3 linked regions of the Lonchura striata genome follow. The protein of the gene in region 2 purifies or fractionates together with the protein of the main gene of each other region. This does not show direct contact. Links are inferred from orthologs where the notes say so. Each region holds a gene or a part of one and is shown on either strand. Other genes may lie near its edges. The genes, in order: CDH5, CTNNA1 and TES.

What was found.
Region 1: the proteins of CTNNA1 (region 2) and CDH5 purify together in Homo sapiens (affinity purification with western blotting; 4 studies listed by BioGRID and IntAct, counting the BioPlex papers as one, with this or other methods). This does not show direct contact. The link is inferred for Lonchura striata from reciprocal best matches to the Homo sapiens genes CTNNA1 and CDH5.
Region 3: the proteins of CTNNA1 (region 2) and TES purify together in Homo sapiens (affinity purification with mass spectrometry; 3 studies listed by BioGRID and IntAct, with this or other methods). This does not show direct contact. The link is inferred for Lonchura striata from reciprocal best matches to the Homo sapiens genes CTNNA1 and TES.

What each region holds. Positions count from the first base shown.
Region 1 is NC_134615.1:2,278,077-2,288,435, forward strand, and holds the start of CDH5 (cadherin-5), read left to right. Parts: upstream 1-5,777; 5' UTR 5,778-5,991; intron 5,992-10,359. UniProt on the Homo sapiens protein: Cadherins are calcium-dependent cell adhesion proteins. They preferentially interact with themselves in a homophilic manner in connecting cells; cadherins may thus contribute to the sorting of heterogeneous cell types.
Region 2 is NC_134617.1:16,847,831-16,858,568, reverse strand, and holds the start of CTNNA1 (catenin alpha-1), read left to right. Parts: upstream 1-6,619; 5' UTR 6,620-6,728; intron 6,729-10,738. UniProt on the Homo sapiens protein: Associates with the cytoplasmic domain of a variety of cadherins. The association of catenins to cadherins produces a complex which is linked to the actin filament network, and which seems to be of primary importance for cadherins cell-adhesion properties.
Region 3 is NC_134607.1:34,801,496-34,812,291, reverse strand, and holds the start of TES (testin), read left to right. Parts: upstream 1-5,870; 5' UTR 5,871-5,922; coding exon 5,923-5,949; intron 5,950-10,796. UniProt on the Homo sapiens protein: Scaffold protein that may play a role in cell adhesion, cell spreading and in the reorganization of the actin cytoskeleton. Plays a role in the regulation of cell proliferation. May act as a tumor suppressor. Inhibits tumor cell growth.

The sequences.
Region 1 (10,359 bases), on a different chromosome or scaffold from region 2:
GCATTAAATTTTCCATTGTGCTTTTAAATATACATATTCTCTCCTTGGAGATTCTGTTTGGATGTTAGGAACCAGCTCTTGTTCTTTTTAATCTCTGTGAAAGTGCACAGGGATGGGCGTAAGCATTTATACGGTCAAGATGAAATATCAGCAAAAGGAAACCGTCCAAGGCAGATATATTTCAATATGAATCATTAATTCCTAAAGCTTGCATTTTTTCATTATTCATTACCCATTTTTCATCCTGCATTACTCCCTCAGCTTGCAGAGCTGCAGTGAGATCCTCACAGCTCAGAAGTGCTGGTGTGTGGCTGGGGGAGCAGCCCCACACCTCAAACTGAGCAATTCACAGGTAAAGAGAAGATTAAAAAACATATTTCCACTGCCCTGCAAACATCAGTCACTGAAATCTGGCATTTTATAGACTGAACCCTCCAAGGTCTGTGACTGGTTTCCCTGACTATTTGCAGGGTATACCCTCATGCCAAAATTCCAAACAACAATACCCAAACCCTAATACTCACATTTCCATCTGATTTTCACTTCTATGCTTGACAGCTAGGAATCTATTGATTCAATTATAAACATAGCATTAAGAATCAAATGCTATTTTATCAGTTCTAGGGAAAGCCTGAAATCTTTATATTCCACATTTCACTGCAACAGCTAAATTCAGACCAGCACAAATCAGAGCAGCTTCACTGCAGAGGGGACAGAGCCTGCAGAGTTTAAAGGCAGAGCCTGCCTGCTGTAGCCTGCACACAGATGGTTGGGGGCAGAAATCCATCCTGACTGGTTTCCAAGCCAGGAGGAGTTCTCACACATCCACTCAGTGGCTAAAGAGGCACAGTGCCCACTGCAGCACAGACACAATGCACAGGGGGTGGCAGCAGGACTCTGAAACCATCTGCACTTGCACAGGGCTTGGCAGCAAGAGCTGGACTGGCAGCCTGGGCCTGGGGTGTGATAAAGGGAATGTAATAAATGAGTAAAAGTCACTGAACCAATTTACAAGGCATTAGTGCCTTGGCTCTCACACTTCAGCCCCTCGGCAAGGATTCATCCAGAGCAGTTCTCTCCACTCTGCTTTTGGCAAGTGCTCAGTTCCTCCAACAGCTTTGCAGAAAGCACATCACCTCCAAAAGCTTTGGAGAAGGCACATCACCTCCAAAAGCTTTGGAGAAGGCACATCACGTCCTTTCCTTGCCCCATGGGCCTTTGAGCAACACAAAACCCATCTGGAACCCAGTGTCCTCAGGAGAAGGGTGGCAGCAGCCTGGGAGGGGGGTCCTTGTGGTCCATGTGGAGAGCAGTTGGAGTTTAAAGCTGGGCTGCTTCAACAACCAGAGTTCATGAATGAAAGGTGACAATTTTCGTTGTTTTTTTTTAAGGAACAGATTGCCTTGGTTTTGGTTTCTATTTTAAGGGTCATTCAAATTAAAATAGGTATGTTCTTCAGGTGAAAAAAAAAATCACTGAAATTGAAGATTGTTTATCAAAAACATTTGTGGAAGATTTTTTATCAGTTTCACACCTCTACACTTGACCTGCTCTTCCAACTGGAATCACGTGTAAAGGTTAGTGTGCTAGAGTTAGCCTGCAGGCTTGTTGTTCCAAACCCCTGTGGATTGTGTCTTCAGTGAGCACATCAAAGGGATTCATGATTCCTTCCTTCAGCTCACTGGTGACGCAGTTCCATTTTATGGCTTCTGCTCAGGCTGTTATAAAGTTTTAGTACAATACGGGTGCATTTTGTACCATCTATTCTTTCCTGGCATTTCCAAACAAGGCAACAATATCATTTGGGACCATTCCCTGCTGAGCATTGTATTAATTAAGTCCTTGATACTTATGAAGCCAGAGGTCTCATTAAGGAGGATGGGACTGACCCTTGCAGGAGAGATCTGCTGTAGTGAAATGAGTGTGGTACAGCCAGAACAGTGCTCTGGAAAACACCTCAGCAGATGTTATCACACCTCCCCAGCAAGCACCCAATTCCACCAGCTTTCACTGAAATTCTTCAGCAGTTTGGGTTTTTTTTAATTCACCTTAAATTAAAAACAAATCAGAGCTACATTGCTTTGTTTAAAAAACCTGACAAGAGGAAGCCGAGTCAGAGTGACTCCAGGATGCGCACCTCAGGCTGTGACAGAAAGGAAACCAGTGACCAAGTGGAAATGACTGAGAGCACTGCACTGCCCTGATTAAAGGCCCAGAAATAACAACACAAGGTACTGCAGAGATTGTGCCTTCCACACGGAGCAGGAATTGTTATTTTTTAACCTTCAGGTAATGGCCCTTCCAGAGAGGCTGCGGACATCCGTCAGATGCAATTGCACATTTCAGATGGGAGGGATTTTGCACTGATTAGCTGAGCTGCTGGAAATTAGCATTTGGGGTTTATTTTTGTAACTGGGAGCCTGTGCTCTCCCCCACCCTATTTTCTAACTGGTCAGAAAAATCCTGGCACAGTATCAGTGCTGTGACTGAATTCCCAGCCTTGGCACACCTTCCCTTGCGCAGCGCCTGTAACGTGCTGGGTTTAGCAGGACAGACTACTGAATCTAACTTTTATAACTGTTACAAAAACATTCCTGGGCTGTACTTGCAAGGGTAAAACCCTTCCCTAGTGAGAGTCAGATAGCAGGATGAGAATTAAAAATTAGTTGCAGCTGTGTCAATAGCTGCCTTTGGTTTTGATAACTGTGCTTATCAAGAAGGGCTTATTTATCATATGGAATTTCACCATAACTCAAATTACTTGAAGAAAAGGGAAGAAAACTCTTACTTAGTGAAAAGTACAGGGACACTTTGTCCACTTTGCAAGGACTTGTGCTGGTTAGGAAAGCAATGAACTTGTTCCTACAACTATGTTTTCCATGAATTCTTTGAGAACTTTCCAGAGCACTGATCAGATGAGACAGTGAACAAGCAACACAGTGCAAACCTGAAACCAGCTGTAAGCACGAGTCAGCCTGCCCTGCTAGGAACACAGCAAGTAGAGAAACTGGAGCTCCTGATCATTAGATCAATCTCCTCATCAACAGATAAAATCTAATTCTGAAGAAAGGTGCTTTAATCTCACATTCATTCTGTGCACTTATCAACCCAGTAACTTACACAAACCCCCCAAGGGTGTCTGTGCACAGCTAGCACAGATTTAACAGATTTAATGTGGTGAGTGAGGGCTGGGTTTCTGCCCATTATAACACAGTCCTCTCAGCAGTAGCAAGATGACAGCTATTGCTTCAGATTCCCAGGAATGTCAAATCCAAACTATGCAAAGCATCTGTAAAGCAAAGTTGAGTTCCACCCCATCATTCAAGAGAGGAAGGACTATTTTAAACTTTACTAGTCTGGCAAATGGCTCAGTCTGCATTTCAATAACACAGGCTGAACTCAAAGTTTCACAGAAAGACATGCTGATCTAAACCAGACATACCTGACCCAGGTGCCACAGAGCCCCAGAGCAGCAGCTAATGAACATCTGTGGGAAAAGCACTGGAAAGAAGCAAATGATCAGTAAGGGCAGCTGGATATAGCATGGAAGAAAACTCATACAGCAGAGCTGAACTGAAAAGGGCTTGATGCCATTTGGAGACAGGAATGGCAGGAATGCACCATGAAATGATGAGTAAATAATTACCACTCCTTTTGTTCTGCCACCATCTCCATCCATGAGTCACACAGACAGTGTGTGCTAATTGATTTTTTACCTGTTCCCTTCAATTCCACCAGCTGGACTGTTAAATAATATTTCATACCCAAAATCACACAATTAAAAGGTAATTATGTCTGCCAATGTTGTCTGATCATGCAAATTATTTTTCTCATTAGCAGAACTTACTGTGAATTAATAATATTTTTGAAGCATTACCCTCTGGCTTGCAAAAGGCATGAGCCACCAAGGAATTTTTCCAAAGTCTTATGATTTGGCCACAATGATAAAATCTGAAAGTCTAAGATCTACAAGAAATCCTGCTTGCCAGCATTTTGTGTCATCAGCTTTAAACCACAGTGCTTTCACTGCCTAGGAGGGACAGCAGGGCAAATGTCTGGGATCAGCCAGAGGGTACAGAGCACCTGAACCTCCAGGAGCTCTGCTGCTGCTGGGAGAGGGCTGCTAGAATTGGTTCTGCTTTCCATAAAATCTCAATGGACCTCTCCTCATAGCCAGAAAGGAAACCTAAACAACCAGTTCAGCAGAGATGGAATCTATAAAGCATCGTTGGAAGGTTTTAGATGGTAAATCAGGTCTCTACAATTTCAATGGAAGTATCTTCCTCTTAAACTTACAGAAGATTTTCGGTTTTCTATCGAGCTCTGATGCAGAGCATGTGAAAAGGCCTTTAGAAACTTTCTCAGTTCTTGCCTTGAACTTTTTGGGGGAGAAGAAGCAAATCAGATAATAGGAAGGTAATTATCAGACATTAAAACAGACCTGGACAACCTGAGCTGTGGCCTCAGGGCACACAGAGAGAGCCCTGGGGTCTCCTCTTTTCCCTCTGAGCAGAGGGATGATTCCCCTCCCTCCTCCTTTCTTGAATGTCACCCTCAGTCCCAGCCTCACACGGGGACATCAGAGGTACAAGGGGCTGGAAATGCAGCTGGAGCCACTTGCAAGGGTAAATCCTATCTGAGCCCCCTGTCTGCTGTGGGCACCTGATTATCAGGGAGCTGCTTCCTGAGCAGAGATCTGCACTTGCCTGGAAAACCCCTATCAGCATCTCCCTGCTCCTCTCCCAGCCGTGACACAGCTTATTTAACAACTCATTTTCCTGCAAGGAAACTGGACTCTCGGGCTCCTTACACAAGACTGAAGAATTTCTCCTTTTTTTTTTTTTTTTTTTTTTTTTTGTAATAATTAATGTAACAAATTCCTTCAGAAGCCATTCATCTTCACTGAAGATGAATGTACACCATGAAAAAGTGAAACAATCTGACCAACCTCAGCCTCCTGGCAAGGCAGGAAATCAATCCCACCACCTGTGCTGGACTGTAATGACAAATTATTTAACTGTGGAATAATATTAAAAATTTAATTCAATAATTAAAATTACTAATGTCATACTTAAGATACATTGAACATTTGCCTGCATTTATTATAAGTGGTTCCAAAGAGTGCATTTTGAGTAAACCCCACACTTCTCAGTTTTCTTCTGCATTACTTAATGAAAAAAATCCTCTTTCATTTGTAGTGCACAATGCCAAGAGCTACACCCTTGTGTTCAGTTTAACACTGAAGCTTCCCCTTCTGAGTGTCCTGAGTGGTCTCCAGACTTAGAATCACCATAATCAAGATGCTATGAACATTTCTTCTTATGAAAGGCCTGCCTACACTGCCTTGCTCCTCTGGTCTTCACTTTACCTGTGAAAAATACTGTGAAATTTCATCTTTACACCCAGCACTGGCAGAGCTTAGCAGGAACCCAGTCTCATTAACAGGAAGGCTCTACCTTTTTGGTTTCCAGGTATAAAAATTCTTATAGGTAGGACACTTCCAAACTGCTTTGAAAGTCCTGTTTATGCAAAGCAGGCATAGTCTGTGCTGATCAGACACTAAAAGTTTCTCTTAGAAATTTGCTACCTCTTAAAATTCTCTCTAAAACGATACCAAATAACAGACCAACTCTGGTGTTTCTCTCAGAGTTTCCTTTTATCCAGGTCCCTCATTAGAGTCAGCAACAAATAAGTAGATAGAGAAATAATAAGGCTAACTTTATCTTGTTTCCTCCACTCCCTTTTCTCACTGCATTAGTAAGACTTGGAACAATAACAGGATGCCGGGATGCAGGATGGGAAAGGCTGACTCCCAGCTGGAAAAGCTTGGAGACTGGAGAGCTGAACACTCCCAGTATTGCTTAACGAAAAGAGAAGTGGATTTTTCTATTTGATCTTCATTTTTTGTATTTTGCTTAACATTTTGGGATACTGTTGGGTTTAGTTTGCCTGATTTGGTACCACACTGAAGCTCTGCCACCTCGGACTCTGGTAAGAGACAAATGTTATTTTCTGTCCTTCAGCCATGAAGTTCATTTCAAAGGGTTTTTTACCTCCACCCAAATTATTTTCTAATGTCTTAAATAAGTTAAGAAATATCAGCAAATGGGCTATGAATTTTATACATGTCCACAAAATCCTTTTGGCGTTACACTGATGGCACCCGCACCAAGTACAAACAGCAGAGCTCTTTACAATTGACACTGCAAGAGGAAAATCTCTGGCTTTGTTGGGCTATAATATTCCCAGGTTATTAAAAAAAAAAAAAAAAGAGAGAGACATTTCATGGGTTTTTTGAGTATTGCTTTGTAATATTTAGATTGTGTTGCCAAAGTTCATCTATAATGAAAAAGAGGTGGAGAATATGCTGGAAAATGCACCTGTAAAGCCTTTAGGAAGGGATTTCCCTACTGGTGTGGGCAGGTGCAGCTCCAGGACTGTTTTCAGTGAGCAGAGGTGTGCTGGGCTGGGATTTGATGCAAATTTTTTATTGAAGTGGGGTGGATTTGGGGTCTGTAAGGTGGGGGGCCTTCCTGTGCCCTGGGCCAAGAGGTGACAGCCACCGTGTGCACTGGCATATCTGTTAAAAACTGGGAAGGGAGTTTATATAAATCCAGGTCAGTGATTTGGTCCTAATTCATAAGTTTAAAGAGTCCCAGGTACTTTAACGCCATAACTCTGGAGTACCAGGTTTTACAGACCCTGTTCTAAAAGACCAGTAATTCTTATTCCAGAGGTTTCTTGATCTCAGTGGTTCAAAAAGACCCATCTTTTTTTTCTGATGGGTTATTTTATGAGCAGTGGCTTGACACAAAAAGTTGTTTGAAAAGGCTTTTATCTTGTCCTAGAGCAGGTGTAGCAGGTCCCTGAACTAACAAGCTTGCTGTGCAGCTTGCAGAGACAAAGCATGTATGCATAAGAGATGAGCTGATAGTGGTTCTTCTCTAAGAAATCTATTCTGCAATAGTGGGACTGTCAGTGTGCACAGCACCTCACCGTGCTGGCTGTCACACTGTAATAAAGATAAAGGAAGGAAAGAAATGCAAGGGGAAAAAAGATATGGAAGAAGATTAATTTCTGTGAGAAAATCTCTTTCATTCTTAGCTCCCAAAAACATTCCAAGTTGGCTGTTTCTGCAGTTAACAAAGGTATAGTTAATCAATGTTTCTCTGCCTCCTGTGAATATAAATCATTAGATCAGCATTTGTAAAAGCACACAGTATTATCGATGATCATGCAGGAAAATATATTAGACAAAAGCAAGGATGCTCCAATGATTTACAAAAGCTTCTCATCTTAGGTTAATGTGTGCCTGGTAACAACAACCCATATACCAGAAACAAATCACAGAAATGCTGACTTGAAATTTATCTCTGATATCTCCAAGAGTTACCTTTTATCCTTAAATAAAAGGTGACCCACAGGAGAAAAGGACATAGGATGCATTTAGCATACGAAAGCCTTAGAATAGTACAGTATGCTAGAGAGAATAATGTGCATTTACAAGTAATAAAACAAATTAATTTGAAAGCAAAGGATAAACTCAATTTAAAAAGTCATTCCTGATTTGCCCACAAAGCCACAAACCTGGGTTATTTTTCAGACTGCTACAGCTGCATTGCAATGCAACAAGAAGCATTTCCCAAAGCTTTGCTCTTTAACAGAAGCCCGTAACAGTGTTCTTTGAACATTTTTAGAATAAATGTTAACACTGAAATTGAGTCCTGGAAGAAGAGCATGTCCCTGAGCAACATGCAGCTTGCAGGATATGGGGCACAGAGGCAGGGCAGAGTTAAAAGCTCTGCTGCCAGCTTTGCCTCACATCCTGCCTCTGCTGAGGGAAACTGGCTGAAAACAGGATTGAGGTAAAAATCACGGGGCATGGTTCAGAAACCATGGTTCAGAAAGTGATTTACAGCAGTTATGGAACAAAGGACTTCACTGTCCCTCATAAATCAACTACTTCAATTAATATTTCAAATTCAAAATAGAAAAACTTTCCTAAAACTCTTGTTTTCTGGGTATGTGTCTACAGAACTACAGGTTTAAATCAGGCCAGTAAATACTTTTTGTTTTCTAAAAGAGCAGAGGTTCACAGAATCAAGATAACTGATTATTTCTGGCAGCTGACCTTTCTGTAAGGAATCGCCATTGTATTTTCATCATAATTCCAGGTTTTGTCAGATTCTACAAGTTTAATTCAGAGGTTCCAATGTTAGTGCCAAGAAGAAAATAAGAGGTTCCCTTTGTGAGAAATTTGTTGGGCATTAAATTACTTTGGTACTTTCTGTTTGTTTGTTTGTTTGTTTGGGGTTGTTTGTTTGTTTGTTTGTTTTTTAATTTGACAAATGGGTTTCCCTTGTTATCTTTGTGAGTTTACAAGCTGAAAACCCCTCAGAGTTTAGCACAGGTGTGAGCGGTTTCCCTTCCTCCCCGGAGCACAGCAGACAGGGATTACTGGGGCAGACTGGAGATCTGCTGGGACAGAGGTGCCCAGCCCACAGCCACCAGAGCAGCTCCCACACAGAGCTTGGTGAGCCCGGAGCTGGACACTCTTTTGAGCCATGGTAAAGGTTTTCTGTGGGTTTCCCTTCAGGGCTCTGCTCTGCCAAGGGCCATGCAGGTGGAGCAAACACAGAAAACAAACCCTCCTGTCAGGGCCAGGTGCCACGGGCTGTGCTGCTTCCAGGGATCCTGCGCCAGAGCCTGGCCCCTGCCAGAGTCCCTGCAAACCCAGGGGTCCCACCAAGCAATGCTGGCACTAAACCTGTGCAAAATGAGGGCATGTTCAGAAATGAAGGCACACCAGTTCAGGAAACTCCCCTGAGCAGCCATCCAGGAGGGACTCAGGCAGCCCCACTCCCACCCCAGACTGTCCCTGCTGGGGCTGGAGCCCCTTCCCAGCCCCAGGAGCCAACAGGTCCCACTTGGCTCCCTGCACACACCCTCTGTCACACCAGGATTCCTTCCCAGTTCCAGCCCAGGTCTCCCATGGCAGAGTCTCAGATATCTCATTCCATAATGCCATTTATTCCCAGCGCAGGAACACAGAGCAGCCCGAGCCGGTGCCTCCCAGGGGGATCCCAGCCAAGGAACCCCTGGGCTTTTATCCCCTCCCAGTTCAAGAGTGCCACAGTCTGGCTCTCCCTGCTGAGCCCTGGGCTCCTGCCACATCCCTGGCTGTGCCACAGCTCCCTGTGCCCTTTGCTGTGCCCCTTTCCTAGGGCTCCAACCATCCCCAGGGCTCTGAGCTGCCCCCAGAGACCTGCTCAGAATTAATTACTCATCACAGCACTGCACCTCCTGAATTCTGCAGTGAGGCTGGCCTTGGAATATGAAAAATTAATAAAAAATTGTGAAGAACCTGTTTACAGTTCCTCAGTGCAGGAATAAAAATTAGCCCATTTCATTTGATTTTCACTCATCTGCATCTGAATTTCAGATCTGTCAATAAGAATGGAACTGGCTGGTTTTTGAATGCAAGCTTTTGCTGAATATGCTAAGTTCTGTCATCTCCTGAAAGGGAAGTTGTTTGTGCCATGGGTCTGATCTGTGCATTGGCTGCTGGACACCTCTGTTGGGCAGGCAGGGAGATTTGGAGCCCAGCCCTCCCAGGTGCTAATTAGGACATTCACAGGACCTGGAGCAGCTGAAGACCTGGGATTTCCAGGGCTGGCAAAGACAGGAGAAGGGCACAAAGGCAACCTATCCCTCCAGGCACTGCCTACACTTCAGTTTTGGTGCCCTGAGAATATCCCTTTAAAGGTTTGTAATCTGTAAACCAGAGTCAAGAGCTGACCAGGCACTCTGGAAGACTTTTCTCCAGACAAGTATTTTTGTGTGAGACAGAAAGCAAAACTCTTACAATAGAGTAGCAGCTAGATTTGAAAGCTTTATCAAGTATAATCCACAGAAGTCCAGAAGTTATCACAAAAAATAACAGAAATTTTAGAGACATGCAAGCATGCTTACCTGCACAAACTAGGGAAATGGCACAGGTACCTTCCCAAGCAGCAGCAGAGAGAAAAGAGTGCCCCAACATTGCTACCTGAAATGCAAGGACTTACAGAGCACCACTGTAGTTAGAGGTAGATGAAAAGGCAAAAATGTTTTCAGGCCCTCATTTTTGAAACCCAAAGAGGTCACTTTATTGTCCCAGTTGTCACTAAGACCCTTCCCGTCCAGTTTCCCCAGCCTCCTCTGCCTCAGCCTGAGGCACCAGAGGCCCCTGTTTGTGTCACCCTTCTGTCCCAAAGCCACGCAGCAGCAGTGACACCTCTGCCCATTTCCCTCCCAGCCCCACCTGGAGCGTGCCCCTGACCCCTGGCAGAGCTCAGCAGGGACAGGGGGTTCATGCAG
Region 2 (10,738 bases):
CATCCTGATGGAGAGGTGAGGTGGAGTTTCACATTTCTGCCTCTGTGTCAAATGTGCAGAAATAAATCCTCTGGAGAGCTGAGGGCGATTGCTCAGAGGCCTGGGAAAGCCCCAGACACACCGTGTAGGAGACATCACTGAACCCAGCAGGATACTTCATAAAGTCAGAGTTCTCTCTTCCTCCCTCACATAAGAAAGAGCAGAGATCAGCAGAAAAAAGTTGCTGGGTGTGATGTTCCTGCTCTTGCTACAGTACCACAGGAGGTGAGATTTTATCCTGGTTAAAAGGGATCCTGGTGAAAGGATTTATTCACATCCTGATAGAAAATGCTGCCCCATCCTTCCCCTGCCCCAGGGTACAGACACAGAGAGTGGCCGCTTGTCCATGCTCAAAGATGGGGAGGAAAAGTGTCTTTTCCTTGATGACTTTCCTCCCAGTAATCTCAGCTACTATTTGTAAGGACAGCAGATACCACAGCCTCAGACAAAAGTCTGCTTTTCAAGCAATGATGTCCCTTTTTATAATAAAGGCTGCCAACTCCCAGAAGTGATAGCTCACAAACAATCAGGGAGAGGACAACGGGAATGCTCTTTGAGGTGCTGTGCAGAATAGATCATCCACTGTACAGCAACAAATCAAATTTAGGGAGAAAGAATTTGGAAACAAATTACCAGTAAGATATTTCAAGCTGACAGCAATTTGGAGCAACTTAGGTCTGTCTGGTAAGAACTGTATTCCTTTTATTTCCCTATCAATAGCAGCTACCTTATAAGATTGGTTTCTCATTGATAATTCTGTCTGGAACAGAAACTCCTGAGTACACTTAAGTTGATAACTCTCTCTTTGATCACATTTCAGTAGCAATGCTTTTCACCTTGACGACAGAATTTCTCCCTTTGGATGAAGTTTCCATGCCTAAAAAGCCACATGGGTGTGGGATTTCCAGGCTCAGGGAGCTCTGGCGCACTGCAGTGCTTGGACTCGGGGCTGGGAACGGCAGGGAGATGAGCCTGGGGCAGGAGCTGCAGGGTTCGGCGCACTCATTTGCTCTGCCTCAGTCTCCCTGATCGTATAACAGTATAGAAACTACTTGTAGGTGTTTGTCTTTATGGGAGAGGGATAATTCATATCTGCTACCGGCACCTCATAATGCTGAAACAAGGATTACGGGTGTTTCTCCGCACAGCTTTGCGTGCCTGGAGGAGCAGTGAGGAGCTGCACATGGCATGTGCGAGTTCAGGTGTTCCCACGGGGAGCACAGGAATGGTGCAGCCACAGGCTCCGTGTGCCCCCACTGCCCTGCACTCAGCGGGCAAAGGGGGCGGGTGCAGCTCGGGTGCCAAGGGGCACGCTGGGGTGGAGGGGCAGTCGGGACTGATCCCACCCTGCACATACAGAATGTGCTGTTCCAGCACTGGGGACTCATCTCGTGCTGACAGCGGCGCTCAATGTGTTAATTACCGAGGGAGGTCATTAATGTCCATCAGCAGGCGGGGAGGGGACAGGACTCGCAGGGAGGAATGTGTTGGGGGTAGACTGGAATGCAGCAGTGCTGACATGCCCGGAGCAGGAGACATAAAAAGAGTGCACTAGCCTGTAATTTCTCTGCAATTTCTCCTCGGGAAGTAATGAAAGTTTACGGCTAGTCGTGGCAATGCCCGTGTCTCTCTTCCAGAAAGAGGCAGATAAAAATAGTTTAGAATCACACTGAGAAAAAGAGAAATTTGACATTCCTTTGAAAACTCTTTGTGGTCAAGTGCTCCCAGCTCACTTTGGCCAAGTACTTAGTAAAGAGGGATGCCAGCTGTGGCTAACAGTCCTTTAGGTTGCCCCCATGAAAGCCAGGCCCTGCTCATCTGCTGAGCAGAGTGATTTGGCTTGTTTAATCTTTAGAAATAAAAATGAAGGGATTTGTGCTGGTCCAGCAAAGCCCTGGCTCCCCTTGAGGGCTGTGTCAGCCTTGGGACAGGAGGGCTCTTTCCTCCTGGTTTTCTCCATTGCCCCACTTGCTCCTTGGGGCTGGTTTTGACCTTGCTGAAGCCTCACACGATCCTGCTGAGCTTTCAGGGAATGTGCGAGGGTTCGGTGCTCCGGATGCAGGGTAAGGTGCTGTCAGCTTGGGGTTTGTTTCCACTCCACTGGCTTCTGCTTTGTGTCTAACATTTGGGAATAAATTATCAGGAGGTGGGAAAGCCTTGATCCAATGATGGTTTCAATTTGTAGCTTAAATTGTGACCTTTTAACACCCCAAATTAAAATCACCCAGCACTTGTTCTGCACTGCATACCTCCTGGATTACAAAAGCAATTGACAGTGTTATTTACTCAAGCAGTGCCTTAGAAACGAAAATCTTTTTGTCTGTTCTCCACAGATATGAAATACTCAGTCACGTAACAGAGGCTGCATTTAACATGAAGAACCTTTTTCCTCTGTGCCCTTGGCTAAGCTCTCACAGTCCCACCTCTACAGGAACCACATTTCAATGGTGCTGTACACCCCTTAGTCTTTACAGCATTTTCGGATCTTTCCAGATGGAAAGTGCCATAAAAATGTAAAATATTATTAATTAAAGGCTGAAATAGATGCAGTGTGTGGAGGTCAGTGACTCATGCAGGAGGATTCTCAGGCTTCTGCTATGCATTGCCTCGGGGTGCTTTTTTGAATGTTCCCTTCTCCGGGGCTATGACAGTTTATTACACAAAGGCTGTGTGAAGCTGGAGGTGAATGCAAACTACTTGGGCTAAGAACAGCAACCAGTGAACCCAGTTCATGCTGAGCCTTTTGGGATGGCATAATTTCCCCTCATTACAGTTTCTGCCTGTTTTTTGCAGGCAGCACGGGCTCTGTGCCACAGCCCCTGTGCTCCTGGCCATGCTGGTGCTATAGACTGCTTCTCTTTCTGGAGGGCCCAGGAGCATTTGACAGTGTAGGAAGGGAGTGTTTCACTTAGGAGCCAGTGGCTTCTTGATTAGGAACTGGGCCATGTTTCTAGCACACAGTTTTCCTTGGAGAGGGTGGCAGTGATGGGGAGCACAGCCCTGGCACCAGGAGCACTGTGGCTGCAGCTCCCAGAGAACCACTGCTGATCCCAGAGGCATTGCAGCATCAACTGGGTCTGATCCCTGCGCTGCCAGCAGTGCCAGGGAGCCCCAGTGTAGCTGCAGGTGTACTGGTAAATCCCTTCTTCTCCTGACTGAGGCTTATTTCAGCAAGGCAGGTGTTGTAATCACAGCTGAGGCTGTGTACCTGCAGTCTCCCCAGAAGCACCACATACCAGCGTTTCCAGAGTCCATTGCATTGCCCCAGAACACTGGAATTTGGTTTCTGGCTGTACACATGCTCATTCCTAGCTGGATACTGCAAGACAATCTTAGCTCTTTATGTGTCTGAGCCCTGAAAAGAAATGGTGTTGTCTCCCAGCTGCATGGAATACTGAGATGAGCACTGGAGAGCCCCCAGGAGTTGGTGCCAGGCCCTCATTGTTCCTTTGCTACATTCCTGACTTCATCAGAGCCTCCAGTCTTCGAGGGAGGCTGCATTTTGGGTGACTCCTACAGCAAAGCTCACCGGCTGCGAGTCCCTGCCCTGCTCCTGCCTTGCTGGCAGCCCAGGGACAGGAGGTGACAGGGCTGTGCCCGGTGACTGGGTGACTGCTGCTGGCAGTCACACAGCTGGTGGCACAGCACGGCTGCCCTCGAGCTGTCCCCACGGCCCAGCATGACATCAGTGTGCAGAAAGCCTCAACCAGCTGCTAGTTGAACCTGGAGATTCCTTTAGAGTATTTGGAATTTTTCCTCTCTCTCTTGGTTCCTGCTGCCCATTCAGCCCCTCCAGCAGGACCTTCAGCTTACCATTACAACACTGTATTACTTTTCCTCAACTTTATTTCCTTCCTTCTGTCATGCCTCTCAATCCCCTCACCACTTCCTGCTCCAGCAGTCCTGTCTTTGAAACTGCCGTGAGAGGTGCAATGCTTCCATCTTTTGCAAATAACTAAACAAAACCACTTAAAAAACCCCTCCAAAACAAACACAAAACCACAGAGACCAAACAAACATTTTGAAATGGAGCAACTACCCTTCAACAGCATTGTTACAGAAACAGAAAATCCAGTTCCAGATGAGGCACATCATTTAGACCCCGTACACACTGAGACTGGCAGACAGTGGAGCTCCAGCAGGTTGCTAGATAAACAAGCCCCTTCCTACACAGACCCAGCCCAGGATTTACAGGAGAATGCAGCTCCCCTGCAGTGGCTACACCCACACAGTATCTCCAGGTGGCCCTGGCCAGGGATTGCCCTTGTACACACCTAAGGAACAGGGCCAGGCTGCCAGGAGTGTGCAGCCGCCAGCCCCGCTCTGCTCTGGGTACCTTGGATCGTCCTCACTGGACGGGAGCGTTTGTTCATTCTACACAAACAACCTCCCCCAGTATCGGGGTGGCCACCTCGCCTCTCTCCCTGTCCTCTCCCCTGGCTTACCCTGCGTTTTCGCCAGTGAAAAAGGGCAAGAAAAACATTTTAGAAACCACCAGGAAAATGGGATTACAAAATCACAAACACTGTTATGGGAAGATTTGAGGCCAAGCAGAACACTTGTAACTCATTTCAGAAAATGCATTAGATTTCAAGCTGCCAATGACATGGGCCGGATGGGAGGTGTGAGCTACTGTTGCTGGGTGCCTGTCTGAACACTCCCTGCATTTCAGTCTTGTTGACAGAGCCCAGTGCTGTGATTCAGAGAGAGCTGTTAATTAAGAGACAAAGTCCAATCTCAAGCTAGCTGGCTCTATTTTTACATAATTTTATGTTTTGTTTGCTGAGCCTTTTAACTCGCTCCATGAACCAACAGAGCTGCCAGCTGATCTCCTACTTTTCCCTTGACTTTTCAGTGGTGCAGTGCAGAACATGTGATTCTCTACAACTCCAGGCCTTCTACTTTGGAATCTGTAGGTTTAAAAAGGAATTTTTTTTTAATCTGACATTTTGTCCTGAAAGGATGTGAGGCACAGAGAACTGCCGAATGTGGAAGGCACCACAGGAGGCTAAGACATGATATTAAAACGAGTAATGAAAGAAAGCAAGCTATTGAAGTGTAAACTCCCATTTTTACTGAGAGTATGCTACAGACAGAAATGAGTAGTTTGGATCCCTGGTGCAATTGACACCAAATATTAATGGTTTGGTATAAGCAGGAAACACAATGAAATTAAGAAATCTGTTTTCCTCATATTTCCATAAGAGAGTCTGTTTGTTGAGGCACTGAAGACCTGTATTTTTTTTTTAATAACCTGTATCTCAGTCAGTTTCATAATTACAGATCTCACATTCTTTAGACTAATTTCACTCACTGACAAGGCTGGGCTCTTGATCCCTATTTTATTTCTGGATTATAAAACAACAGTACTCTACTTACTTCCTTGTCTTGGATCTCTTTCTTGGATTAAATCTGCAGGAAGGAAAAATGCAATCTAATTCCCCACAGGAGTGTTCCTGCAGGAAAGTTTTGTAGGAATATGGCAGTGATGGGAAACACAGCCCTGCAAATCCCATTGAACCAGCATCTGGAGGAAAGTCACAGTCCTGACCACAGTGTGGTCACCTGTGCTGTGACACTGACCTCGGGCCAGCCCCTCACTCAGTCACATACCTTGAATGAATCTTCCTTGTAGGTTACTCAATCTCTCTATTTTTTGCTTAATAACAAAGGATGGAGTGTGTAGCTTCAGGTATCGCAGAAGTGCTGGCAAATGAGTCATGAAATGTATTCAATTTATTCAGTCGTCTTTACAATCCAGTACAAGTGTAAATTCTGTGGCGAGATTTGTATCAAAAACCATCTCAAAACACACCACAGAAAGTCCCAGAGTAATTTGTCACTCTCTCACACAAAATGCTCACTGAGACTTTTCAAAGAAAACTTTAAAACAAATTGCCACATAAAGACAACTTTCTCCACCTGCAGACCTGCCTCTGCAGGTCAAGGTTAAGTTTGCAAAACCTTCCTCTCTTCTTAGAGGGGTGCCTGTGGCGTGCTTGTACCCTGGGATTTCCTCTCACCTGTAGTCTTGTTATTAGAGACATCTGGATGAAAACAAGGTGTTTCCTAAAAGCAGCAGCTCTCTGGAGGGTGAAAATATCTGGGTTTTTCAAAACAAAACACCAATACAGAAACCCAGGGGGAACCCATAACTTTCCCTGTTTCCTTCAAACCCCCTACGTCCATCACTTCCCCTCTCTCCAAAGACCCTCGGTAAGTTGCGCTTAGGAGGACAAGGCCAGATATTGACGTCGAATTTGTTGATTCTGCCTCAAAAGTGCCATCCTAAGAGCCTGGGCTGGGGGCGGCCAGGGGAGGGCTGCGAAGGGAGGCTGCCCGTGGGCGCACGGGGCGAGGGGGACAGGGAGCTGAGCCAGGCTCCCTGCAGGGCTGGGCGGTTTGGAGGTGCCTGCCCGGGGTGAGGGGACCCCCCGTCCTGCCCGGGGTGAGGGGGTCCCGCCGTGCCCCGCCCGGCCCGGCCCGGCCCGGCCCGGCCCCGCCGTCCCTCACCTGCGGGCGGGCGGCGCCGGCAGGGCGCGGGGGCGGCGCGGCGGGCGGTGCCGGGAAGAGCGGCCGGGCCGGGCGGGGAGGCGCCGGAAGAGCCCATTTCCTCCGCGGGACGGGACAAAGCGGCGGGGCCGAGCGCAGCCGGGGCGGCCGCACCATCCCAGCCCAGCTCTGCCCCGGTAAAGTTGCGGCTCTCGCACTTGGAAACTTTCGGGCGCCAGCCGGGCCGTGCTGCCGCGGGGCTGGGGCGGGGGGCAGAGGGCGGGAGCGGAGCGGGCCGCGCGCGGGGAGGGAGCCGGGCCCGGCTGTGGCGGCGGCGCTGCCCCGAGCGGCGGGGCCCGCGTGGGAGCGGGCGGGCCCGCGGTGCTGGGGGCCGCCAGCGCGTTCCGCCGGGGGAGCCGCGCGGCCGGGCCGCTCCCGGCGAAGTTTCGGTGCGGCGGGGCGGTGTCCCGGCCCCTCCCCGCGCGGCCGGGGCCGCCCTGGCGCCGCTCCCCGGCTGCGCTAGGGCCGGCGCGGCCGGCAGCCCTGGCAGCGCTCCGTGCCGTTCGGCCCGCGGTCTGCCCGGGCGGCGCGGCCGAGGCCGCATCGAGCCCTCCTCCAGCCCCGGCCGTGCTGCTGATCCCGTGCACGGACAGCCGGGAACACCCCGCGGCCCCACCTGGCTCCGCCACGTTTTCTGACACCCACCGCTAATCCCCTCCTCTGCTGGAGGGCGTGGGCCTCTCCTTCGCTGACAGAAAGTTTCGTGCTACTTTTTCCCAGACAAAAAGCAGGAAGAGCGCATCCGCTCCCGGGTTATGTGCGGCCCCTGCGTCTGCTGCCTGTGGCCCTGGGTTCCCTGGGTAGCGTGGGTCACCCGCCTGTTATTCATTGCTCCTGCCAGTTCAAAACGCCTAAAATCCTTCAGACTGAAAGTTTGCAGCAAAGTGTGTGTTCCAGTTATGTTTAGTGACGAGTCAGATGTGAGCAAGGCACGGCTCCCTGTCTGTGTGCCCTTGGCTCGCCAGCCGTGCCCGGGAGGTGGCTTCTGGCGAGGGTCATCGATCGCTGCGAGCCCCATGACCGCGTCCTCAGCACAGCATTCCGAGTTGTGACTCCAGGCGTGTCTGGACTATCTGTATTGAACTAGTCTGGGAGCTCTTTGCTGCTCTTCCCCCTTCGTTTGGCTTTGTCTATTGTTTTTTTGGGATGGGAGTTGTGCAGAAGGTGTTTTCTGGGTGCTTCAGTCACTTGTGCTCTAGTTAATGGTTTCCTGTGTTTTTGCTGCACTGGGTCTGGGGAGGTGGGAGAGGCTACACTCCTCAGTCCTGCTGGCTACGCCAGGTTCTGGGATTGTTTATGTCAGTTCCTGGGTTGGTTTGTAGGCAGGATTGTGTTGATGAAGGTGAAAGCCCAGCTCATTTTACGCTAGATGTAGCCTTTGCTCTGTCTCGGGGCAGCAAGGCCACATTAAGTGTTTTGTTGTTGTACTTATTTCACCCTTCTGAATCGAAACATGTTGTTTGAAAGGACATACTTTGATGTTGAGTCACTGTTCATCATTTTCAAAGAAGCAATTTCTAAAACATCACGGAAATGTTTTGACTTTTCTCAGCAGAAACAAAGGTTTAGTAGGTTTTGTTTTTAGAAAGGCTTTGCCCTAACCTTTTCCATAACAAACAATGTGCCTTCAGTCTTTACAGTTTTTTTTCAGCCAGCTCTAATAATAGGCCTCTGCATCGGAGATTTAAAGTTTACACAAGGTGGCTGGGGGAAGCGCAGTGGGCAGAGATTAGAAATCCCATGCTCAAATCGATGCTTTAAAATACAAATGTAAATACTTTCCTCACAGTTGATTTTCAGGCTTTGAAACATCAGCATTTCTGTGCTGATATGTGTCAGGACAGACCTTAAGGTGCGGCTTCTTCGTAGGGCTTCTGTTGGTCTAATAAATTTAACCGGAAGATGTAACAGAAGAGTAATCTGTGTTTTTTCAGCAGCATGAATATCTTCTTTCTGCAGCTGTAAGATACAGAAACTGATCTTGCAAAGGAATCCAGATTAAGCAGAACTGTTTATGAGCTGGAAATACACTTTTGTGGGACTTCAGGCCTGCCTTGAATTTACATCTGCTGTTACTGTTTGATTTCTAAATGACCTTTCTTATGCAGAGAATTAGCTAAGATCACAAAAATACTGAGTGGCCAAACCAGCCTGCTCGTCATAGGTGGGCAGTGGGGCTGCTCTGGAGCAAAGGCCCACGTGGCTGTGGTGCTTCTGTTCAGGACTTGCTGGGTTCTGTTTTACTGGTTTCTCTTAGCTTTGCTGGACACCAAAGGAAACGTGATGAATTAAAGAGGACTGAGTGTCACTTTGTTAGGACAGCACCTTATGAGACAGTCACTCAGCATAATGATGAGTCACAGACTGGTTTGGGTTGAAAGAGACCTTAAATCTCTGGTTCCATTCTGCTGCCATGGGCAGGGGCACCTTCCTGGGACACCTGCAGGGAAACCCTGCACCTGCTCTGAGCCCTTCTACCCTGGCCTTGGATGCTTCCTGGGATGGGGCTTCCTGCTGTTGTGCCTTAACTGACATCACTCAAAAGCTTGTGCTGCAGAACTTCAGTGTTGAGAGTATGACCTTGAGGAATGGGATCCGTTACTGCTCTGGGAATTCACCCGAACTGTTCTACAGCTAATCTGGAATAGCTCCATTCAGTGAGTTTATAGCTGCTCTGTTGGTTAAACAGCATTGCAGCTTTAGAGAAAGTGCAGATGTTTGATAATTACTACTTTTAACTCCATACTATTTTAATCCAGAAAATGAGATTTAAAATAGAGCTACCACAAAATTGTATGCTAGCACCCTGACTGGATGAGCTCCTCTGGAAAGACAAGCTGTGAGAGTGGCCTGCTGTTTCACGAAGGAGAACTGGGTGCAGATGGATTTACTGGGGTGAAGGAGTTGCAGGAGGAATGAGGTCACTGCAACTGGAAGTGGGATTGTTCTCCTCTAGTGACTGAGACTCCTTATCTGCTAGTCAGGGTGAGAATGGGTGTAACTGTGATTTCTGGTGTGCAGAAGGTTAGTCCAGACTATCTGATACTTAAATATGATTCATAATGCCTTGTGACTGATGGATTTAAAGAGCTAGCTACCTTTTCTCTCAATATGATTACATATTTTTGCTTGTTAATCCCAGATGTACTACAGAAAACATCTGTTAGTCCTTTGATATGTGATTATAAATATCTCTGGTCGAATTAAAGGAGTAATCTTTTTCCCCATGTTTTGTGAAGTGATAGAAATTATTCAATACACAGATCTAAACTAACACAGTTTGCAAAGTGAAATTCTCCCCCAGTCTGACGTTCCCTTGTGTTACAATTTCTCTAATTTAGAAGACAGCTAGTTATTAATCAGTTAGACTCCCAAGAGCCTCTTCTGAAAGGCTTTAAATTCAGGGATCAATGCCAGTATCCCGGGCTTATCTGAAGCACTGTGGGCAGCAGATCAAGGGCAGGGATTCTCCACCTCCTGTTCAAGTGAGCCCCCAGCTGCAGAGCTGCCCCAGCCCTGTCCCAGCACAGGAGGAGCTGGAGCTGCTGGAGCCAGGCCAGAGGAGGCTCCAGGATGAGCAGAGGATGGAGCAGCTCTGCTGGCAGGAAAGGCTGGCACAGCTGGGATTGTTCACCTGGAGAGGAGGAGGCTCTGTGGAGACCTTAGAACCCCTTCCAGTGCCTAAAGGGACTCCTGAGAGAGCTGGAGAGGTACTTTGGACAAGGGATGGAGGGATAGGACAAGGGGGAACAGCTTCACACTGCCAGTGGGCAAGGATAGATAGGCTATTGGGAAAAATTCTTGGCTATGAGGGTGGGCAGGCCCTGGCACAAGGTGCCTAGAGCAGTTGTGGCTGCCCTTGGATCCCTGGAAGTGTCCAAGGCCAGGTTGGACATGGGAGCTTGGAGCCACTTGGAACAGTGGAAGGTGTCCCTGTCCATGGTGGGAGTGGAATGAGATGAACTTTAAGGTCCCTCCCAAGCCAAACCATTCTCTAATAAACCTAGGAATGGAAAAAGCAAGCATGAGGCCAGCTGTAGCTAAAGGAATAACCATTACCAAGGCAGAGAGTGGAAGAGCACACATGAAGCCAAGCTGGAGGCCAGGTGGTTCTCTGGTAGCTCTGTTTTAGTGCATGGAGTGGCAC
Region 3 (10,796 bases), on a different chromosome or scaffold from region 2:
CGATACCACCATGTCCTTTTCTGCAAAGTTCCTTTTCAGCAGCTCAGCCCCCAGCAGGTAATGGTGCCTGGGGTTGTTTGCCCCAGCTGCAGGACTCTGCAATTCCTGTTGAATTTCAAGAGGTTTCTATCAGCCCATTTCTCCAGCCTGTCCAGATCTCTCAGGTTGGCAGTATTACCCTTTGGTGTGTCTGTCACACCCACCTGTTTTGCATCATCACCAAGCTTACTGTGGATACACTCTGCCCCATCACCCAGTAATGAGGATGCTATTCTCATCTACCAAGCCAGTTATCTCATGGATGCACCTTAGGATCATATCAGGTTGGTTAAGCATGACTTGGTAAATCCATGCTACCTTTGTCCTTTATGTGCCTGGAAATGATTTCTGGGATTAGCTACTCCAGCAAGCACCACAGGGATAAAGGTGAGAGTAACTGGCCTGTAGTTCCCTTGGTCTTCCTTCTCTTGCTTTTTTTGAAGATAGGTGTGTCATTTACTTGTCTCCAGTCTTCAGGCACTTCTCCCAGTCACCATGATGAATCCACAACTATCAACTGGTCTCACAATGGCATCATCCAGCTTTCTTGGCAGTCATGGATACCTCCTATTAGGACCTATAAACTTACCTCAGTTTGTTTGTGTATGCCCTGACCTCACCTTCTTCCATCAAAGGTATGTCTTCTTTGTTTCAGCCCTTCCCACTGGTATCTGGGATTTCTGAAGGCCAGTCTTATTAGTAAAGACTGAGGCAAAATTGGCAATGCCTTTTGCATGTCCCATGTCACCAGGGCCACTTCCCCATTCAGCAGCATGTCCACACTTCCCCTATTCACTCTTTTGCTACTTGTGTACTCAAGAACTTTACCTTGCTTCATTTGACATCCTTTCTCAGATTTAACTACAAGTGGGCTTTGCCTTTCATAGACATTTCTTTGCATGCCAGACAGTGCCTCAGTATTCCTCTCAGGTCACCCATCCCTGCTTCCACCTTCTATAAACTGTCTTTATATGTTTGAATTTTGCCAGGAGCTCCTTTTTCTTCCATGAATAAAATATGTATGGAAACTTACTATACAATAAGCTTTTCAAAGAAGAAGAAGTGCATCTCTGGTTTTACTTAGTATTTATCTGGTACCACACATTTAATTTCTTATAATTTATAATACATTTTGAGTAGGTGTTTGAGAAGGTGTTGAGTAGGGTTTTTTGCCTAAGTAAATTTACCTCATTAGAGATTTAATAATGCAGGAACCTTCTTCAGGTTGTAACTATACATGCTGTGACTGGGATTGAAAACCAGAGAGGAAATAAAAGACTTAGCTCCCTTCTCCAGTACATAACTTCTGAGTTATATCCAATAATTGACTTAGAAACCTAAAAGTGACATGTTTAGTTTCTATGCTAGGGGACCTAAAGAACATAGAGATCATGGAGCAGTTCCAAAACTCAGAACAGACTCCAAGCCATGAAGTATACTAAGCAGAAAAGAAATTATAGTCAGCAAACAGCTGTCTCCCAACTTAGCTGAATCACCTACACTTGATAGAAAATATCTCTGCTTGTTAGGAAACAGAGACTCCTTCTATCCCAATTCTTTCAAAGGAAAGAGCACAGCTTACTCTTTCCTTATAGAAGAAGTTTTTCTTTTATTGTTTTCTCCCCTTCTCTTAATGCTCCTAAAACTGCCCACAAATGGGCAAGTACAAGTTCCTGGTTGAAGGAAGATTTGATTTTCCTAGCAAGTGTCATAATAATCAAGCTACACCACATTTTTCTACCATTTTGCTTTGGCACTGTTCCAAGAACTGAAAAGTCACAGGGACAGTCAGAGAACAAGAAAGAGTGTGACTGTAGCCTGTGTTAAGGGTTGTTTGGATAACAAGCCCTCATCTGTATAAGTTTCCCCAACATCTGGCCAATGTAGGCCTTGAGACTGCATAGGCCCATAGACAGATCCACTCCGTCACTGCTTCAGGGAGCAATTTTTCTTTTCTGTACAGTGGAACTACTTTAAAAGCATACTACAAAGTCTGGTAGCTAGTCCACAGTCCTAACAGATGGAAGCTGTAGTTTGACTCCCATCATGCTGATGAAATCTTAAGACTTTGTATTCTGCCTTGGGGAAAGGTTCAATATCTACTCAGGCCTTATGGAAAAAGTGGGGCACAGCCTCTTTCTATATTCTTTTAAAAAGGCAATAGGTGTTACCAAACTTTACAAGGTTCTTAAATCAGCCTCTATTTCATGCATGGTCTGAAACTTCCTAACATAATAAGCCTCTCTGTAGAATGAAATACAGTGAAGTTTAGTTTCTAGATTTAGAATGGATGAAGCATGGAACAATTATCAAAATTACTGTTCCAATATTAACACTTACAGCATCTGAAATCTGAGACAGCAAAAACCAAAATAATTAAAGTACAACAGAAAACCATGTATATGCTTACCTGGTAAGAAGATAATCAGTAATGCCTCCAGACTTACAGCTTTTGATCTCTGCACCCAAATTCCCTTCTGGGTTTTTATTGGACCTGCCACAAGACATTTCATGTAACATTATTTTAATCAAATGGATATAAAAAGGCAAATGTTATTCCCTTCTCAAACTGAAATGCTTTTTTAAAACTAAATTAGTGTGTTAAGCCACTCTGAAGCAAGACAGACTCTTTATATTTATATCACACTTCAGATTATATTTACAGAAAAATATCTTAAAAGCACAGTGGCATTTCTTCTAACATATAAAGCACTGAGAAAACAGCAAAACTAGAAGAATTTAACTGGAAGTTAGTCTCTTGAGAAGTTTAAACAGAAGAACTGTTTATTAAATAACAGCTTTACTGGAAACAAATTTTCAGCATTGCTAAGTTATGATGCCTTCCGTCTGAGGATGGGCATATAAATCACATATATAATCTACATATCTAATGTTTGGAGAAATGTAGTTACATTCATCATTATGGTATCTGAGTGCAAAGAAAACTGTAAAAGCAGGAAAATTTTCTGATAGACCATCCACTCCCTGCAGTCCTTGTTCCCAGAAATGTATATTAGTATATACATTTAAGTATTAGCCTTTTCCCATCTTCTGCCTGTTGGCTTCATGAACATTGCTGTGGGAAAGTTAGTGCTGGTATAAATCATGCTCTTTCCTTAGAAAATAATAGTATTTAAAAGAGATATTGGATATTTCCCAGAGAGTTATAATAAAGCCCAGCTCTGTGCCCTTAGCATATCAATGTTGTTCTCCTGGCAACTTCAGAATCTTTAAGTGGGAGTCATACAGGATCAAATTCACGCAGTAGGAAATTATTTCTGCCAGGCAAATTAAAGCCATAGAAAACACAGAAAACAGTTACAATCTTAAAATGCATTCTTTATTGATCCAGGTCTCAGAGAATGTGTGTTCCATCAGCAACTTGCTGGTTTGCAAACCAGAAGTTTTATATTACTGCCTGCATTTTCCATTAGACACATGAATCTGTAGGCTTCATTATATGAATTTGAAGTTGTTAAAAGATTACTACATTTTGGCACTAGATGACACAACTGAAATATGCACAAATCACAACCAGAGCATCTCCAACTCAAGAAGTTTAGGAAAAATATAAGCAAATTAATTTATTATTAACTGAACAGTATTAAAGCTTAGTAGGGAAAAAAAAGAAAAATTACATTGTCAAAACCATTATTATGCTATTATACCTAGAGAGATAAGTATAAGCAAAAACTTAAACCATACAATATTTTCTTTCACTTCTTTTTTTTTTTTTCCTAGAATGAAAATATGCTTCTACATCCATTCTCGAATGAAAAGCATATAATGATGACTATGATGGTTTCATTTCTCTGCTTAGTATGGTTAAAACTACCTATCTAATCTTTGTAATTGCTAGCATTCGAGGGCACATTTACTGAACAGGAATGATCTCCTTACTCCTTTGACCACAGTGAGGAAGTTATGAGGCTTGATGGTGTTCAAACTATAGGGTTCCAGGTACACCAACATAAGGCACCCTTAACTTCCCCTTGTCTTTCAACCCCCAAACCACCAGGAATTAACCACTAAACCAAAAAAAAAAAAAAAAAAAAAAAAACCACCAAAAAAAAAAAATACCAGAGTGAGAACCAGAAATGAAAACCAAAATGTCAAACCCAACTAAACCAAATACATGCAACAGTTCCTATTGTTCACCTCTGTAAGGGAGACACACACTAAATACAGCAGCATTACTTGGTGGACCATGTTCTCTCATTTTTTCTAATGATACAGCTTGAGCTCACCCTCCCAGTTTTTTACTGGACTTCTTGGCCAAGATCTGCTGAATAGATTTACCTGTAGGAGCTGTTGGCCCATGGCATACAGCACCATGCCAGTCCTAGCAGAAAAGTCAGTTTTGCTTTTATCTGCTAACAGACAACAAACAGACCTGGTCTAATGTTTGCTTTGTTGCAAACATCTTTCAACAAGTGGTGTCAGACAAAAAAATTAAACGCTGAAATATAAGTATCTCTGGCCTCTGGGGAAGAAACAAAATTACCTAATATCTACATGACAAAAGCTGGTCATTGTGGAGACAAAACACTAGATTGTGCAAATGAATGAAAAAATTATCAAATTTTTCACTATCACTTCCTAGGGCTATAAAGTCTATTAATGTTTGCTACTTTTTCCAAAAATAAAATAAATATGAAACATTAAAATATTTATGGAAGTATTCAGTCTTGCAAATGCTTCATTTTTCTGTCATTTTGCATTAGGTATACATTATAGGTAAAATAAAATTTATATTATCAGTGGTATCCCAGGACTGAATATACGCTAAAGTGTTTGAAGACTGGGATCAGTCTTAACTTTTTTTCCGGCAGGCAGGTAGGTGGAGTCTGGGACCCAGCCCTTGCGGACACGGCCCTGCCCGGGAAGTCGCTGGGAATTCGGGAGCAGTCTCGGCCTGGCGGGCACGGTCGGACCTTGTACCCTGCCACCTCCAGCTCCTCCTTCAGTCAATAAATTGTCAGGAAATCATCTAGTCCAATTTCCTTGACAAGGCAGGGTCACGTAGAGAAAGCGGCACAGGAACGTGGCCAGGTGGGATGTCTCCAGTGAGAGAGACTCCAGGACCTCCCTGGGCAGCCTGTTCCCGTGCTCTGTCATCCTCAATGTGGAAAAGTTCTTCCTTACGTTGAGGTGAAACTTTTTGTGTTGCAGTTTATAGCCCTTGCTCCTCGTTCTGTCACTGGGCACCGCTGAGAAGAGCCTGGCAGGATCCAGCTGACAGCCGCCTTTGAGATATTTATATGCATTCATGTGATCCCCTCTCAGTGGTCTCTAGACTAAACAGGCCCAGCTGCTGCAGTCTCTCCTCATTAAAGAGATGCTCCAGACCCCAGATGATCTTTGTGGCCCCCCACTGGACCCTCTCCAGCAGCTCTTTGTCTCTCTTGTGCTGAGGAGCCCAGAACTCAGCACAGCGCTCCAGATGTGCCTGACAGGGCCGAGTAGAGGGGCAGGACCACCTGCTGGCCATCCCGATGCACCCCAGGTTACCACTGGCCCTCTTGGCCTCAAGGGCACATTCGCATTATAGCCCGAGATCTCCTCTTTCCTCACGGCTCGGGACACTCCGCGTTTGCAGGGCTCTGTACCCGAAGGTGAGGCTGCACCAGCGCCGCCGCGCCGGCACCCCCGCCCCGCCGGGGCTGACTCACGGCCGGCCCGGGCGGGGCGGCAGGGATTGGCTGGCGGGCCGGGCGGGGCGGCGGGGATTGGCTGGCGGGCCGGCGGCGGCCGGCGGGGATTGGCTGCCGCGCCGCCTTTGTTCGGCTGCAGCCAGTGCCGCAGGGCAGCGGAAGTTTGAGCGCCGCGGAGCGCGCGAGCGGAGCCTCCTCCGCGGGGGCGCCTCACAGCCGGAGCCCCGCCATGAACCTGGAGAAGAAAGTGAAGAAGGTGAGGAGGGCTGCCCGCCGGGATGTCTGCCGCGCACGCCGGTGTCCGCTCTATGGGCACTGGAGCCCCCGCGGGGACTGCGCCGGGGTGGCCCTGGTGCCGGGATCAGCCCCGCCCGGCCCCGCGGCGGAGGCGGGAGGCGGGCGAGCCGGCTGCCGGTGCCCGGGGCGCACGGCTGGGCTGCCCCGCTGCTCCGCCGCAGCTGCTGCCCCAGGCGGGGCCCTACCGCTGTTCTGTCTGCGAGTTAAACGTGTTCAGTCCCCACAGTAAACCCCTGAGATCTGATAGTTGTTTTCATGTGTGTGCGCGCTGTGTATGTAGGCATGAAACTTAAATTACAAGCGGACAAGTCGCTGTTTGTAGTTATGTTAGTGATTAATTTCAGACCTATGATGTGACTGACTCCTTACAAGTTTGTTATCAGCGTTCCTATGGGTTACCCCCTTGAGCGAGAAGCCTGGACTTGATTTTTCTTTATTTTTAAAGGTATATTGACTAGTTAGTTGCGTCAAATCGGCAAGAAACAAAAGGTAAGTAGAAGAAATTGATAGGTAATCCAATTGTATTGAATTTCTTTCCAAAACTAACCATTTAAAACTTCCTATGTAAAACTGACTTGCCGTGGGATACTCTTATAAGTCTTTGCTTCTAGTTCTATCACAAATTAAATGTAGTGCTAAATCACTGACTTTTATAAAAATAAAAACTTACTTGTAGTATCTGTTTTGATACTCTTTGATAAGGGGAAAAGCACCTTTATATGTGAACATGGGTTAAATATATGCAAAACCGTAATTGATATGTGAAAAGTAGTCTTTTGAGGGGTTTATTCTTGAGTTGTTTTATTTACAGGTAGCAACTTGTTTTAAAATACACGTATGCACTTTTGTATACCTGTGTGCTTTTCCAACTTGCAGGCTAGAAACTGACTTGGGGGTGGAAGTAGTTGTGTAGTGTGGAAAGCGACCTGTTAGGGCTGAATCCTAGCAGCGGGTGGCCTTGAGTTACAGCTTGCTTCAAGTGATGTCACCACGTGATAGTGTCACTTGGGTGAGGATCTTGCTTTGGAGGAACTGCCTGTCTCAACCCCCAGTCATTGGGCCATCAGCGTATAGGAGGGTGTAGCTAAGTACTGTTGCTGTCTTTAGAAGATAGTTGTTCCCCTTATGTGACTCTTTGTATGCAATGAAAATAAGCCTCTTGAGTAGATTTGCTTGTATTTTCTAAGCTTGTATTTTCTAAGTCCATTCTTCATTTTTGAGCTTCTGTATTGTCTCTTTGGAAAGCTGCTACATACATTTATATCTACATGTCTAGGTTTTGTGTGAAGAAAAGAACACTCAAAGTCTGTTTTCATTGTTGATATTAGGTTTCGTGGGTTTTTTTCTCCAAATGTAACAGCTCTATCACAGTCTGTCTGATTGGAATTGCTTCCCTCCAGTACAAGACCAGTAGGATTCCAGTTCTTCTAACTACTGCCCTACCTGCCACAATTTCTAAGCCATCCTTTCAGCAGTGGATACCTTATATACTTTCTGTCTCATGACAGAAAAGCAGCAGTCCTGTTTAATGTACCCTTCTTAAGGAATCTTCAGGGCACAATTACTTTGGCTCAGACTTTTAATTTATTTTCTGTTTGGTTTCTTTCATGCATGGTAAAAGTAGCCAAAGGAACGATTAGTGCTGTGTAGCCAGATACCTCACTTGGTCTGAATCCTAGACTCTGGGCAGCCACAGCCTGCCAGAAACAGAAATTTCAGCATGCACTTGAGCATACTGAGCAATATATATGCAGAACCTATGCAAATGTGTGGTCATGTAAATTTTGTAGTCAGTTCACTGTGCTTTTTAGAGCTATTAAGTAACTGGCAAACATCTAGGCAGTGAATAGTGTCTTTTTGGCTGTCTTGTGAATACTAAGACTTTCCTGGTCTGTTACAATTTAGGGAAAACTGTACAGTTTTCTCCTTTTTTGTAGGGGGAGTTATATTTGCTCTTGCATTTAAGGATCATGACAACAGTGTTTGTATGAAGTGATTGCACAGCAGAGCTGAAGGGTAAGAACAGGAGCTCCAGCTTGAAAAGTACTCGTGCAAAAAACAGACCACTGTTTCTCCCAGATACAATATATGCTGTGTTCTCAAACGTTGCTTTGAGGCTATAGGGAAAATAAATAAAGATTTAATGCTTTGTGTTGAATACTCTAGCAGAACCTTGTTCTAACAGCCTGGATTACTGCCCTGTCTGCCACCTCTGTGAACTTGGTAAAATGAATCAGTAGGTCACGGTCCTGCTTTTCAGCCCTGCTGGCAGCATGGTCTCATGCTTCGCTAGAGAAAATAAGAATCTGGCAGTGAGTCTGTTCTATATAAACTTTAACAGTATAATACTTGCTTTATAAAAGGAAACTTTGCTTGCAATGGAGAAGGGGCAGGGCAGTTTGGGTGGAAGAGGTGCAACTTCTCTAGTGTGGAGTTTGTGTGGTTATTTTTCAACTTAGTTTGTTCTGTTACAGTTGGAAAACCAAACACTGCGTGCTTTAGACATTGCTAAGTCAACAACTGTAATGATCCTTGATAAATGAATGGTGAATGAAGTATGTATAGGAGCAAAGGAAACTTTTCTGTGTTTTGCAAAGCATGATTTAGTAATGTCTGCTAGGCTGCACTTCCTGTTGAGGTCAGTGTTTGTTTTGGTGTTACTGCTTTGGAAACCCATTATAGTAGATAGTTTTTTGCTGTTTCATATGTATAGTAACATCAAGGAAATATACTTTTATTCAGGGGTGAATTTTGCCTGAAAGTGGAAGAATGAAAACATTTATGTAGATATGAAAGGAACTACTTCAGTTTTGTTCACAAGGAAACTAAGTAACTGCTTCCTGCGTATGCTGTGGGGTTTGAGGGTTCCCCCCCCACCCCCCATCAACATTAAAAAAAAAAGTGAATAATTTTTTGGATCACCTGTCTGTATCCACACCTCTAGATTTTTTTTCCAGCATCCCTCGATAGTAGCTTGGCAAATATGGCACAGCTAAACTAAACTTTTTGACTCTTACTCTTTTTTTCCAATGGCAAAAGTATTCCCCAGGTGTCTTGACTATAAAATATCATGAAATGCCCGAGTAGCAAGTCAAGAAACTCTTTGAATGCAGGACTGCATGACTTTTAAGATAAGCTGAAAGTTTATTCGATAAGGTATAATTATAAACCAAGTATTTTGTAGCAAGGGGGAAAATTAACTTACCTTGAGTTACAGTATTCTGTCATAAAAGTTACAAAAATCTGATTCTGCAGTTGTTCCTGGAAAAAAAAGAAATGTTTCTACTTTCCTCTAAGTAAGTAATAGTGAGTAGCAATTTTCAATGAAATTTTATTGGTAAAAGTTGCTTAAAATTACTTTCTATATTTGAAGAAAGTATGCCGAACCTGTCATGCGAATTACTATCATCTTCCTAGCAGATACAAAGTTTACAGTTGTAAGGGTGTAGATGCAAATATCTATAATGTAGTATATTTTAAAATTGTATTTTACAATCTAAATAGATACATGTTTCATTCATGTAAAACTAATTCTTATGTGTATTGGTTGTGTATATATATATATGCATGGGTCTTTTTCTAGGTAAGTATATGTACAAAATGCCCTAATACATAGTTTTTGCTGATGACCAAAGTTGGTGGGGTTCTTTAGGTTCTGGAGACTTTCAGGAAGAGCAGAGCTGCTAAGATGAAGGCATGTTACACCTGTTACCTAGCATCTCAAATTTGGTCAAATTAACAGGTAAAAAGAGTCAGGAGGCTTCTGTCATGACATTTCCAGAATACACCAGATCTAACTGTACTCCAGTACTGCTATGTATGTGTTTCTGGTTTTGTTGGGGAATTTTTGGTAGTTTAAAAGTCTGCCTAACTCTTTATTTGTGCCTGGTTTTCAGTCTGAGGTTGTCTAGCTACAGCTTTTAAAAGCTGAAAAAAAGCATGCTCTTTCCTGCATGACTAAAGCTCCTAAAAAATTAATCTGTAGGTTTCCAGGTTTGCTTCTCAAGACCTAATGTTAGAGGATGCAACTGGGTAAGAGTGCTCAGGTCAAAACAAAATCCATGGAGTATAGTGAAAATGATGATGGTTATATTTTGTTGGAGGTTTACAGATCGTGTTATAGTGTATGTCAGCTGCATTCAAACTTAGCTAGTGTAATGCTGGACTTTGTGAATAAACAACTCTTATTTTCTATCCAGCTGTGCTATCTTTGATAGCTGTTGGCCTTTTGAAGGTATGTAGCAGTATCTTAAATATTTAAATTCTGAGCTATTTGATATTTAGTAGAAGATATCACAATAAAATAAATTCCTGAGACTTTTGTACTATCAGGCTACTGCAGCTCTTGATTTATTCCTCTGCCTGTCCTGCCCAGATCATCTTCCAAATATTAGTTTTGGATGCAGTCACTTTTTGGCATCCTTCTTTCTGTGCAAAATGGACTTCTGTACCCAGGGTTCTTAATTCCAGTCAACTTCTCCCTAAATCAAAACACATGTTTTAAAAAACCCAGGGTCACAGTTGTCATCAATTTTAATAGACATGTTAAAACAAATATAAAGTGATTTGTGGGATACTGCTCTTTGTTACAAATCTGAATTCTGTTTTCCTTCTCATACAGAGTCTGTGAAATTTTTTTAAGATCATTGTCCGAATATTCTTGTCTTTTGTAGTGGTTTGTTCTTTTTTCATTCAGGAATCGTAAGAAGTATCATTGCTCTTCTGTTTAAAGTTCAAATGCTGTAACCTGTTTTAATTTTCTGTTTGTTGGGTCTCCCTCCTAGAGAAGACTTCTGATGGTACAGA